Arabidopsis thaliana: one gene and its partner. The protein of the gene in region 1 purifies or fractionates together with the protein of each later gene. This does not show direct contact. Each region holds a gene or a part of one and is shown on either strand. Other genes may lie near its edges.

Region 1 (7,867 bases):
GGCAGGTTTGTATATTAAATTAATTTGCGTGATTGGAATGATAAGCTTAAGATCCATCATCCAGTGTTGGAGGTCCCTTTAATTTTTGTCTACACATGTCACTTCCGACACCAACGGAACTCCATTTGCTTATGTGTGTATTGGATGCTTATCCCATTTAATTAAAAAAAAAAATGTTTTTAAAAGGTATTATTCCTTTATTGTCCAATTCGTATGTTTCCTAATTTTGGTAAATATGTTTTTGTTAAGTTTGAAACATCGTTCCTTGCATTACGTATGAGTAAATCATACACGAGCGTATGACCGAGTTGGAATTTACGTAATGACAGATAAATTTGTACATTTACGACATATAAAAATATGAAATCAACCTACATATCTCTTTTTTCCTTTACTATTCTGAAAATTCTAGGTTTTTGACGGAAGAAGTGAAGGCTATAATCACAGAATGGAGGACTCTGTCACGCATTGTGTTCTAGTATGCCATATTTAACACTTGTCAATATGGCTTCGAAAACCGATAATTTTCCCTAACTAAAAATAAAATAAATCTAAGTGGCCACCTAAATGTGTTTAGTTATTATCATACATGCATGCAACATTTTATCATGGCATGTGAAATGTAATCATAATGGAGGATAGACTGCTTACTACTTAAAACAATAAACCACTAATTATCAGTTTTGAAATGATTTATTTTTGTTTAAAGAAGAGATAATGTTATATAATGTTGTGGGAGACAAAGATAGATCCAAGCCAGGTAAGGTTAGCTTGTTGATCTAAATTGATTAAAGCATTTGTTGAACAAGACTTCGCCATCTGTACCACCCATTCTTCTTTCAATTATGGATTATAATTTAGTAAATATCATATATATGCCTCCATTATAACTTTTATTATTGACATTATTGCTTTCTTAAAAGCAAGTTTATTTATCAAAAACTATTGATTGGTCATTGTGAAACGTTATATTTGACCGTCAATAAAACTATACATAACGCAATACATACATTATTATATCAGGTAAAGACTAAGTTATATTAGTATCTTATAAAATGACAATAACATGTTCTACGTAAAAAAAAAGGACAAGGATTATCGGTTACTTTAATAGTTTGAATGATTCTTGATCTAATAATTAAAACATTGGCGTTAGATGTAAGTTTTTGAAATTTAAATTGATTTTAAATGAATCAGTTGATCTAGACAATTAATTTGGTAGAACACCGATCAGAGACCCTTCTTCCAGAAACTGTGATTATAAAACGTGTACTAAGAGACAAGTAAAAATCTTCGTTTTTCTTAATTTAATGCATAGTTGGCTATTTGCGTGCATCATTATTTGCACAATAGTAAATATTCGATTCACGTCGTGTGCAGGAACCCATTCTTTTATCACTTCCAGTAACTTATGACGTTTTAGGATATGAAACATATTTCACCGTTGATCTTGTTTTCTTGTTGTTGTTTAATATCATTCACCGTTGATCTTGTTATTGAGTTTTTCTTTGCTTTTCAATTCGGTTTTATGTAACCGCTAAAAATTAATGGAGAAGAAACCCGTCTTATACCTACAAACCGGGAAATGTGAAGAAGAAACAAACCGGTCGGTTATTGAATTTTAGGGTTTTAAGGTTTTGACCGATGGTTGACTTAGGGCGCGCTTCTCTGCTTTGGTACACACACACACACATCAAGCTGCTTCTTTTACCTCTCTTCTCGCTTCACTCACCATCCTCAGGTTCGTTCTCTGTCACAAACATTACTTCCGACGAAAGAATTAATTTTACAGTTAGGAATTGTAATCAGTGCGAGTAAGTACAGGAATCGAAGCCGGTTTTGTGTTTCTTTTGCTTGATTTTTCTCCGTTTATTCTCAACTTTGAGACTTTTGCTTCATTGGTTACCCTATAAAGCTTGAAACTTTATTCGAATTGAGATGTTCCATTAGATATTTTCAAACAAGTTCCTGCCTTTTTACTCTACATTAAGCTAAAACCTGTGTTTGATTGAATTTTTGATTTCGGCTTAATTAAGGTTAGGCAAAACCAATAACTGGTGTGAGAATGAGGAAGAAGGTAGACGAACGTATAAGGACTCTGATTGAAAACGGTGTTAAACTTAGACACCGTTCCATGTTTGTCATTATTGGTGATAAGGCTCGTGACCAGGTAAAATTCTTCTTGTTATAGATAATTTCTACTTTGCATTTTCCTCGGATTTCAAGTCTAATACTTTTCTGATTCTGTTATGTAACAGATAGTTAATCTTCATCACATTTTGTCAAAATCGGTGGTCAAGTCTAACCCAAGTGTGCTATGGTGCTACAAGAATAGACTCGACATTAGCAGGTTTGATTTATCAACCGATTCAAATATTAGATATTTGCAAAAGTTGAAGCGTTGAAATTTTGTTATTAAAAACTTAATTGAAGCCTAGTTAATAATTAGGTGTGAGTTTCTTTTGAATTTTCCATGCCAAGAGAATGATGGAACCTGGTTTTGTGAGCTATGTTACGCATATTTGTGGAGTTCTATTTGTTGATAACTTGGTCCTGAAAAAGAGTGGGTGTAATTGGTTTTGTGTGCAGTCACAATAAAAAACGTGCTAAGCAGTTGAAGAAGATGAAGGAGAGAGGACAATTAGATCCTGAAAAACTCGACGCTTTCTCTCTTTTTCTTGATGTGGTGGATGTTACTCATTGCTTGTACAAAGATTCTGAAAGAATTCTTGGGAATACTTTTGGCATCTGCATCTTACAGGTACTCTTGATTAATGGCTGAAGAAACATTTACTTTTGCTGCAGCTTACTCATATTTGCATCCTATTCTTACTATGTTCAGGATTTTGAAGCTCTAACTCCAAATCTACTAGCAAGAACAATAGAGACAGTCGAAGGGGGTGGGCTAGTTGTATTATTATTACAATCGCTTGCTTCACTTACTAGTCTCTGCACCATGGTTATGGTATGAAGACTGATTTTGCTAGTTATGTTGTTTGCTAACTACTTATTTGGAGTTACATGATTGGTTCTGTTCATATCAGGATGTGCATGATAGATTTCGAACCGAGTCACACTCTGAAGCTTCCGGACGTTTCAATGAACGATTTCTGTTGTCACTAGCATCTTGCAAAGCATGCGTTGTCATGGATGATGAGTTGAATTTATTGCCACTTTCATCTCATATCAAATCTATCACAAAAGTTCCAACAAAGGAGGTAATTTCTATAGCAAATTCACACTTCTTTTCATGGGTTGTTTAGAGAGATTGTCTTCCATCATACCAGTTAGCATCTTTAACTTTTCAATTTTATGTGTTTGTAATAAAAGGATTCGGAAGCGCTTTCTGAGGCAGAACGAGACCTGAAGAGTTTGAAAGATGCACTAAACGATGATTTTCCTGTTGGTCCTTTAATTAATAAGTGTTGTACATTGGATCAGGTATGTGGTTTAGTCAGCTGTGCACATTGGATTAAGAAGTGTTGCACATTGGATCAGTATTGAATTTTCTCTTTTGTAGGGTAAAGCTGTTGTCACATTTTTCGATGCAATATTGGATAAGACCCTCCGTAGCATAGTTGCTCTGATTGCTAGTCGTGGGCGTGGAAAATCTGCTGCACTTGGTCTAGCTGTTGCTGGGGCTGTTGCTGCTGGGTAGGCTTGAGTTATTTTGAGCTTTTATTCATGTTTGTTAATAGTATTTATTGTCTTATTAATTCTATATCGTATTTTCTGTTAGGTACTCTAATATTTACGTAACAGCACCGAGCCCAGATAACTTGAAAACAGTCTTCGAGTTTGTTTGCAAAGGTTTCGATGCACTTGAATATAAGGTAATATGAGCTTCTTCTGCATCACACATATGAAGCAATTTTCTAGAAACTGCTGGACTTCTTCCATTTTGTTGGGGTTGTCATAGATTTGAAATCTGCACTATCTCCTGGAAGAAGAAAAATGTTACTTTGTTTTGCATGTTAATTCAGGATTACCATATAATTTTCTGAACTCTATCTTCAACTATATATTTGAAGGAACATCTTGAATATGATGTCGTGAGAAGTGTGAATCCTGAATTTAATAAAGCCATCGTACGGATCAATATCTTCAAGCAGCACAGGCAAACTATCCAGGTCTGTCCAACCCTGAATTTTTGTAAGAAGCCGTAGTTTGTGTCGATCGATAAATTGCTTTATTCTTCTTCTTTTTTCATGCAGTATATACAACCGCATGAACATGAAAAGCTCTCACAAGTGGAGCTGTTGGTTATTGATGAAGCGGCAGCTATTCCTTTGCCAGTTGTGAAGTCTCTACTTGGCCCTTACCTAGTTTTCTTATCATCTACTGTCAGTGGGTATGTGAAACAGGAGTAAAATGCTTATATTCCCATGATATTGAAAGATATATGCATGGCTTGATTATATATAGGGTCAGTCAGGCTGCTGATTTTTGTTTGTTTTACCTTCTTTGCCAAAGCTATGAAGGTACTGGTAGATCTTTGTCCCTGAAACTCCTCCAACAGTTAGAAGAGCAAAGCCGAGCCCCTGTCACTGGTGTTGAAGGCTCTCTTTCTGGTATTTACTACTACATCTTGCTTTCACTTTTGGCATGTGGCAACCTGGATATTTTTTTTTTGTAGAGATCCCAATATTATTATTAAGAATATAGAAGTTCATCTTTTTTAAAATATCGCTCCAATGCCTTTGCGTCGGGGCTTATCAGCTAGCATTTTCATAAGAAAGAAATTTATGTTTTTGAAGTAAACCATTGCTCCAATTCCTAAGTTTGAGGAATATATGTGAATGATTTTTTCCAAGAACGTAGGTTTTGTTGTTAAGTTTGGCCTTAAGGGCCTCCGAAGGTTGATTGAAACTTCATGCAGAGTAGTCCTCTGTCTGATGGGTGTTCATATTCATTAGAACTAATGTTCTCTCACGCAGGGCCTACTACTTTCATATCTTAGTATGTAGTATTAGATATCCTCTTTTTCCTACACTATCTAGTTGATGTGATTCGTTATCTTGGGGAACTCCGTGACTGTCTGAATTTTCTTTGGATTCAGGTTGCCTTTTCAAGAAAATAGAACTTAGTGAGTCTATAAGATACGCTTCTGGAGATCCAATTGAATCCTGGCTTAATGGATTACTATGCCTTGATGTTGCTAATTGTCTTCCAAATCCTGCTTGGTATGGTATTTCACTTCATATAAATAGAATGTTGCCATCCTTTCTTGCCAACTAGTGATCTAGAAAATGATTTCTATTTTTCTTGCATTTGTAGCCATCCTCTGCCAAGTCAGTGTGATCTTTATTATGTCAACCGAGACACCTTATTTTCTTATCACAAGGACAGTGAGTTGTTTTTACAGGTAATAATAGTTGATTTTACAACCTACGTACTTTTTGCTACCTATATTTTGTTAATAAGGCATTAAGTGGTATTCTACAGCGAATGATGGCACTTTGTGTCTCTTCTCACTACAAGAATTCTCCTAATGATCTTCAACTTTTGTCGGATGCTCCTGCTCATCATTTGTTTGTGTTGCTCGGTATGCAATTGTTCCTCCTTTTCATAGCTAGAGATAATCATCAGATTTAGAGTATTGCCTTATTTTCTTTTTGGCACAGGTCCTGTTGATGAGTCCAAAAACCAGCTTCCTGACATACTGTGTGTTATTCAGGTATCGATTTCTTACTTTCTGCTCTGCTCTTTGAAATTGTTTGTTTGGAGAAAAACAGTTAGTTGGACTAAACAAAGAATAAAAGCAGCTATCAGTCTGCTTGAATTGTTTGTTTGCAGCAATTTTGTTTTGTAAAATCATGAATCTCATATCTTGTCGTTCGTATGTGATTGATTCTGGATGTAACTGGTCTTAAGTATCCTTGAAATTGATATTTATGCAGGTCTGTCTCGAAGGACAGATATCTCGGAAATCAGCTGAAAAAAGTTTAAGAGAAGGTCATTCACCACATGGAGATCAAATACCATGGAAGTTCTGTGAACAGTTCCGGGACGTGGTCTTTCCAAAGCTTTCTGGTGCTCGTATAGTACGCATAGCAGTCCACCCCAACGCTATGAAGGTAAAGTTTCTTAGTCGCCTCATTTTTTTAGTCTTGTAGGTTTCTTGTGAGATTTAACAAATTCTTGATTACATTCTATGTAGATGGGATATGGGTCTGCTGCGGTTGAACTCTTGACCAGGTAAATGCAATGATTACGACTTAGATGATTAATACATGCAAATATTTTAATTGATTGATACGTGCAGATACTTTGAGGGTCAGCTAGCTTCAATATCAGAAGGTGATGATGAACTGGAAGTGGAGCCTTCACCAGTCAGAGTTACCGAGGCTGCTGCAAAGGTTCTTGATTATTTTAATCTACCCTTGTAGGGTTTTGCATCATGCATTCTAGTTCTTACTTGAATTTTTTCCCTTAGGTTTCTTTGCTTGAGGAACAGATAAAGCCTCGTGCCAATCTTCCACCTTTGCTGGTTCCTCTTCGTGATCGACGACCTGAGAGACTCCACTACATCGGTGTCTCTTTTGGGCTTACTTTGGACCTCTTCCGTTTCTGGAGAAAACATAAATTTGCTCCATTCTACATCAGTCAAATACCAGTTGAGAATCCCTCTTTCCCTCTTCTCCTGAATTACTAATTCTAGTGTTGTCTAGCAGTTCATAACACAATTTCTAAAATATGGTTGGATCAGAGTGCTGTGACTGGTGAGCACACATGTATGCTTCTGAAACCATTAACCTTAAGCAACGATGAATTCGAAGTTGATGAGTCGGATGAACTGGGCTTCTTTGCTCCCTTCTATAAAGGTTTGTAAATTCTTAACAGGAATCAAATGTTTCTGTAGCTTTTAAGGATGACAGGTTTTGTTTTAATGTTTTGGCAAATTCTTCTACTCTGTTCAGATTTCAGGATAAGGTTCTCTAAACTGTTGAGTGATAAATTCAAGAAGATGGATTATAAACTTGCAATGAGGTTAGCACTAATCATATTCTCTCCCCATGCAAATTTAGACTTTTTCTGCAATACTATTTTAAGATGATTAGACTTTTCTTGGTGCGGTATTATTGTGTTGATAATATACTCGTTTCACAATTTTGTTAGTGTTTTGAACCCTAAGATCAACTTCCCAGAGGTTGATTTGACTGGAAATTCACCAGATGGATTTTTGAAGAAACTCGACGGAGTTCTTTCACCTTATGATATGGAGAGATTCAGAGCATACACTGCCAATCTCGTTGACTTCAATCTGGTTAGATTCACTCTCTGAGAGTCACTTATTTTAGGGAAATATGTACTATAGTCAGATATGTAATCTGCTTAAATAACTACACAATCATAAGATTCTGGTACAGACTCAGACAAATAATACTAACCGCATGTTCAAGCTTGATACTCTGTCTTTTCGTTTGGTTTGGTAACTATTTTTACTTTGTTATCTTTTCAAAGGTTTATGACATCTGCAAAACTCTAGCTCATCATTATTTTCAAGAGAAGCTCCCAGTCTCGCTGTCGTATGTTCAAGCTTCTGTACTCCTGTGTTTGGGCTTGCAGGAGTCAGATTTCTCGAGCATCGAGGTATAACATATCTACTCTTTAAAATAAATCGATGATCTGGACCAGCTGAATTATGTTTCACCACACATGTGGAGATAAATTTCTTGACACATCTGGTTGTTCTAAATTGGATCATGACGTTGACTTACAGAGACAAATGCAGTTGGAGAGGGGCCAAATATACTCTCTTCTATTGAAGGTTGGAAAGAAGTTATACAAATATTTGAATGGAATCGCAACAAAAGAGCTCGAATCCACCTTACCTCGGTTGAAAGATGTAAGTTCAGATGGGAAA
Region 2 (4,553 bases), about 20 Mb from region 1:
CCTCCGTCGGTTAAAATCAAAGGCGTTGCTTCCGTCGTCGTCTCTCTTGACATTTTGCTTTCTCTTTTCAAAGTTTCTTCCTTTCTTCGAAATTTCAAAAATTGATATCGAATTGATGAAATTGGTGAAGCTTTACGCCATTAAATTGGGGCAATTTCAATCTCAGAGACAATTTCGGATTTGTTAGGGTTTCGATTCGAACAGAGAGAGAGAGAGACAGAAAGAGAAAGAAGATGATGAGTCGGACAAATCGGGAAACGTGATGTTTGAAAAATGAATATAAAAAATCAAAATTGTAATGAATTTAATGTCTCCTCAAATGACAACCAGAGAAATTAGGGGACATATATGTAATATTCAGTTTTTTCAGTGGCTATATGGTAAACTTACACTAACTTGATTCAAATTAAGGGTGGGTAAGAAACTGAACCAAACCATATTAAACCGAAATTTATTCTTTTGTCCAACTGAGTAAAAAATTAACAAAAATTCGAAAAATTTTAAGCATAATTTTTAATCGAAAACCGGAATAAATCTAAATTAAACTCAAATCCAAATTGAAAATTTTTAATCGAAAAAATTATAGTTTATACGACATCTATTTAGGGAACAAACCCAAAAAAAAACTCAACTAATTTTTATTTGGACGTTTAATACCCAATTGTTTTTGGTTGGAAGGTAAATACACGAAGTAATAAAACCGTGCAATTTAATACACAAACAAGTAATTGTTGTTATTTTCATACTCACGATCTCACAACAAAAATAAAATTCCAATTTTACCCTTACCATCTCAATTAATTATTAATTTTTTTATAATATAATATTAAATTTTATAATTTTGAATAAAAAATAATTTTATTAACATTTTAGTTTATGGTCTCTAATTTTTATTATTATTATATTATTCTAAAATTTAACATAAAAATTATAGAAAATTAAAAATATTTTAAAATGGCCGGTAAATATTCTTCGTAGTGAGAAACTCTCTTTTCGATTGTATATCCTTCAAGAATCAAACTATTTTCGACAAAATCTCAACCCGAATCTCATCGTATTTCTCAAGATTTATCAATTCATAAAAATGGCTAATTTTGTTTTTAGTAGCAAAATAGCTAACCTCAACCCAAATCTCAACGAATTAGATTAATCTTTGATTCTAAATTTCCTTAAAGAGAAAACGATTCTTTGATATTGCAACGATAGAAGAAGATTGTAATAATGACTATTTTAAAATATTTTTGATTTTCTATAATTTTTATGTTAAATTTTAGAATAATATAATAATAATAAAAATGAAAATTTAAATTTTAGAGACCATAAACTAAAATGTTAATAAAATTAATTTTTATTTAAAATTATATAATTAATATTATATTATCAAAAAATAATAGTTAATTGAGATGGTAAGAGTAAAATTGGAATTTTATTTTTGTTGTGAGATCGTGAGTATGAAAATAACAACAATTAATTATTTGTGTATTAAATTGTATGATTTTATTATTTCGTGTATTTACTTTCCAACCAAAAACAATTGAGTATTAAACGTCCAAATAAAAATTAATTGAGGTTTGTTTTGGTTTTTTTTCCCATCTATTTATAATAAAATAGACCAATTTTAAATTTATCGAACCGAACTGGGCATAAATGTAACAACGAGTTTTAAAAGGCGGGGCTATATAGTGAAATTAATATACTTTGGGTACAGAATTCGGATGTTTTCTTTTTATAGGCCCTTTAATGAAATGATTGTATAAAAGTAAAACCCTTAATCGGATCCTCCAGCAATTTTCCCTCCAAACCAGAAAACCCTCCAAATCTCACCGGTCGGAGATTCCTTCTCTTCCGACTGATAATGGCGTCTTCTTCATCAACCTCTACCGGTGACGGATACAATGAACCATGGGTGGAGAAATACAGGCCGAGCAAAGTAGTCGATATCGTTGGAAACGAAGACGCCGTCTCCAGACTTCAAGTCATTGCTCGCGACGGCAACATGCCTAATCTTATCCTTTCCGTAAGATTTTACTCTTCTGTTGACACTCTTTGATTTAAACCCTCCTCGAATTTGCTAAAAAGTTTTAGGTTTGATGAAAACTTGATCAATTAGGGCATTTTGGGTTTGTTTACTGTGTAGATTTCATGATAAAGCTTAGATTTTGAGGGTTTTTAATCAATTTCTATTGTCTGCCAAAGTTAATGAAGGTTTGATTTTTAGAAAATCTCTGTGTTTAGTATTACTTGTGGAGATTTGATATATGATTTTGTGTTGTTTGGTTGTATATCCTTAGGGTCCTCCTGGAACAGGTAAAACCACAAGCATTTTGGCTCTTGCTCATGAGCTCCTTGGCACGAATTACAAGGAGGCTGTTCTGGAGTTGAATGCATCTGATGATAGGTATGTGATGCCAATCTTTTACCTATGGGATGTTGTTCTATCTTCAATCGTTGTTTGGTTAGACATCTTCAATGTTCTGTTATGTTTGTAGGGGTATTGATGTTGTAAGGAACAAAATTAAGATGTTTGCGCAGAAGAAAGTAACACTTCCTCCAGGGCGTCATAAGGTTGTTATCCTAGATGAAGCTGACAGGTTAGTGACTTTTACTTGAGTATTCCTTCTCAAGTTGAATTGTTCCAGTTAAGTGTTTTTTTTTCTGACTTTCTGTTTTCGGTTTCTAAAAAACTAGTATGACATCTGGAGCACAACAAGCATTGAGGAGAACGATTGAAATCTATTCGAACTCTACGCGGTTTGCACTTGCTTGTAATACATCAGCCAAGATTATTGAGCCCATTCAGAGTAGATGTGCCTTAGTTCGATTCTCTAGATTATCTGATCAGCAGATACTAGGCCGTCTCTTGGTGGTGGTTGCAGCAGAGAAAGTACGGATTTGCCACTTTTCTTTCATTCGACATGTTTACTTACTGCAATTTTGAAAATTTTCTAATTGCTTATGTTTTCAATCTCTCAAGGTTCCGTATGTGCCTGAAGGCCTTGAGGCGATAATCTTTACAGCTGATGGTGACATGAGGCAAGCTCTGAACAACTTGCAAGCCACATTCAGCGGGTTTTCGTTTGTCAACCAAGAAAACGTCTTCAAGGTTTGAAACAAAACCTTAATTCACTTTGGCTTATAAAACACATTGGTTTCATATCATCAATCAAAGATCTCTTCACTTAGGTCTGTGACCAGCCTCACCCGCTTCATGTCAAGAACATTGTTCGCAATGTGTTGGAAAGTAAGTTTGACATCGCCTGTGACGGCTTAAAGCAGCTCTATGATTTGGGCTACTCTCCAACCGACATTATCACAACGCTTTTCCGTATAATAAAGAATTACGATATGGCTGAGTATCTGAAACTTGAGTTCATGAAGGTATACATCTGATTCTCCTTGACAGCTCAAAACATCCAAACTTTCGTCTAACACCAATGCTTTTCTTCAGGAAACTGGATTTGCGCATATGAGAATCTGTGATGGAGTTGGATCTTATCTTCAGCTATGTGGTCTTCTGGCTAAGTTATCCATTGTTCGTGAAACAGCGAAAGCACCTTAAGTTAGGTAACTTCCACTCATCTCTAGTGATGAACTGGTGGCCGGTCTATGTTTAAACCAAGTTGGTTAAATCTCGTTGTTTGAGAATTCGGATAGATGTTGGAACTTCCATGCTGTATTGCTCTGTTTTCTAGATTTGAATTGCTTGTGAATGTTTCTGAATATTAAGCTTAATCCTAACCAGTTTGGTATACCAACACATTTTTTTATATAATACCATGCTATTTGTTTAAATCACATAAATGAAAAAAACAATACACAGATTATTTTACACATTACAACCACTCTATATAGTCTACGCAAGTGCGAGAGATGAATCGTAATTTTTGTAGGTAAAATGTTGAACCTATTTGTGTAATTCGATAACACTATATGAGTAAGGCATGACATTGTGAAATGGTGTAAACTCTTGGTCTGTTACATTGACTTTATATTATGAATAAACACACTTGTGACCAAAAAAAAGAAAAAAGAACTGGGAACAAGAAACGAAATAAAGTTATATTTATTGAACCAAAACTATAAAATACGTTTGGTTAAAAACCAAATCTACTACAGTAACCATAATGATGACACGTCTGAAATCTTCTTCTGTAGCTCGTGTGTGTTAACCTAACATTGAAATACACAAAACAACGTATCAGAGTCATCTTCATGAAGCTTACAGACACGATAACAACTAAATACACACCATGTAACATAAGGACTCTGTTGCGAAAAATATCAGAGTAAAGCAACATGATTCACCTCAGACTCCTCCTACCTCGAGGACAAACTGTTTTAAGAAAGCATATTGAGAAAGCTTTTGTCCAATCTCCCATCATGCAACATATTTGTCACCAAGCTAATGGTTGAAGCATCTCCAACAAACCCAGAACTCCTCATTTCTTTGATGAGTTCTGCTGATGCGGCTCTGTCACAATCTCTAAGGTTTGCTCTGATAAGCGTATTATATGTACCACTATTTGGAAGAGTACCATCTTCTTTCATTTTTC

What was found.
Region 2: the proteins of AT1G10490 (region 1) and RFC2 fractionate together in Arabidopsis thaliana (co-fractionation; one large-scale study listed by BioGRID). This does not show direct contact.

The regions. Positions count from the first base shown.
Region 1 is NC_003070.9:3,451,524-3,459,390, forward strand, and holds the start of AT1G10490 (GNAT acetyltransferase (DUF699)), read left to right. Parts: upstream 1-1,667; 5' UTR 1,668-1,741; intron 1,742-2,036; 5' UTR 2,037-2,065; coding exon 2,066-2,170; intron 2,171-2,258; coding exon 2,259-2,350; intron 2,351-2,589; coding exon 2,590-2,761; intron 2,762-2,842; coding exon 2,843-2,965; intron 2,966-3,044; coding exon 3,045-3,218; intron 3,219-3,330; coding exon 3,331-3,441; intron 3,442-3,520; coding exon 3,521-3,654; intron 3,655-3,739; coding exon 3,740-3,833; intron 3,834-4,031; coding exon 4,032-4,130; intron 4,131-4,214; coding exon 4,215-4,351; intron 4,352-4,473; coding exon 4,474-4,571; intron 4,572-5,059; coding exon 5,060-5,183; intron 5,184-5,277; coding exon 5,278-5,365; intron 5,366-5,445; coding exon 5,446-5,545; intron 5,546-5,624; coding exon 5,625-5,677; intron 5,678-5,900; coding exon 5,901-6,077; intron 6,078-6,160; coding exon 6,161-6,198; intron 6,199-6,265; coding exon 6,266-6,359; intron 6,360-6,436; and 12 more. UniProt on the Arabidopsis thaliana protein: RNA cytidine acetyltransferase with specificity toward both 18S rRNA and tRNAs. Catalyzes the formation of N(4)-acetylcytidine (ac4C) in 18S rRNA. Required for early nucleolar cleavages of precursor rRNA at sites A0, A1 and A2 during 18S rRNA synthesis.
Region 2 is NC_003070.9:23,421,074-23,425,626, reverse strand, and holds RFC2 (replication factor C 2), read left to right. Parts: upstream 1-1,712; 5' UTR 1,713-1,855; coding exon 1,856-2,017; intron 2,018-2,291; coding exon 2,292-2,398; intron 2,399-2,489; coding exon 2,490-2,591; intron 2,592-2,688; coding exon 2,689-2,884; intron 2,885-2,974; coding exon 2,975-3,103; intron 3,104-3,183; coding exon 3,184-3,378; intron 3,379-3,448; coding exon 3,449-3,559; 3' UTR 3,560-3,793; downstream 3,794-4,553. Other genes in the region: AT1G63170 (Zinc finger, C3HC4 type (RING finger) family protein), read right to left, coding at 1-53; AT1G63150 (Tetratricopeptide repeat (TPR)-like superfamily protein), read right to left, coding at 4,339-4,553. UniProt on the Arabidopsis thaliana protein: May be involved in DNA replication and thus regulate cell proliferation.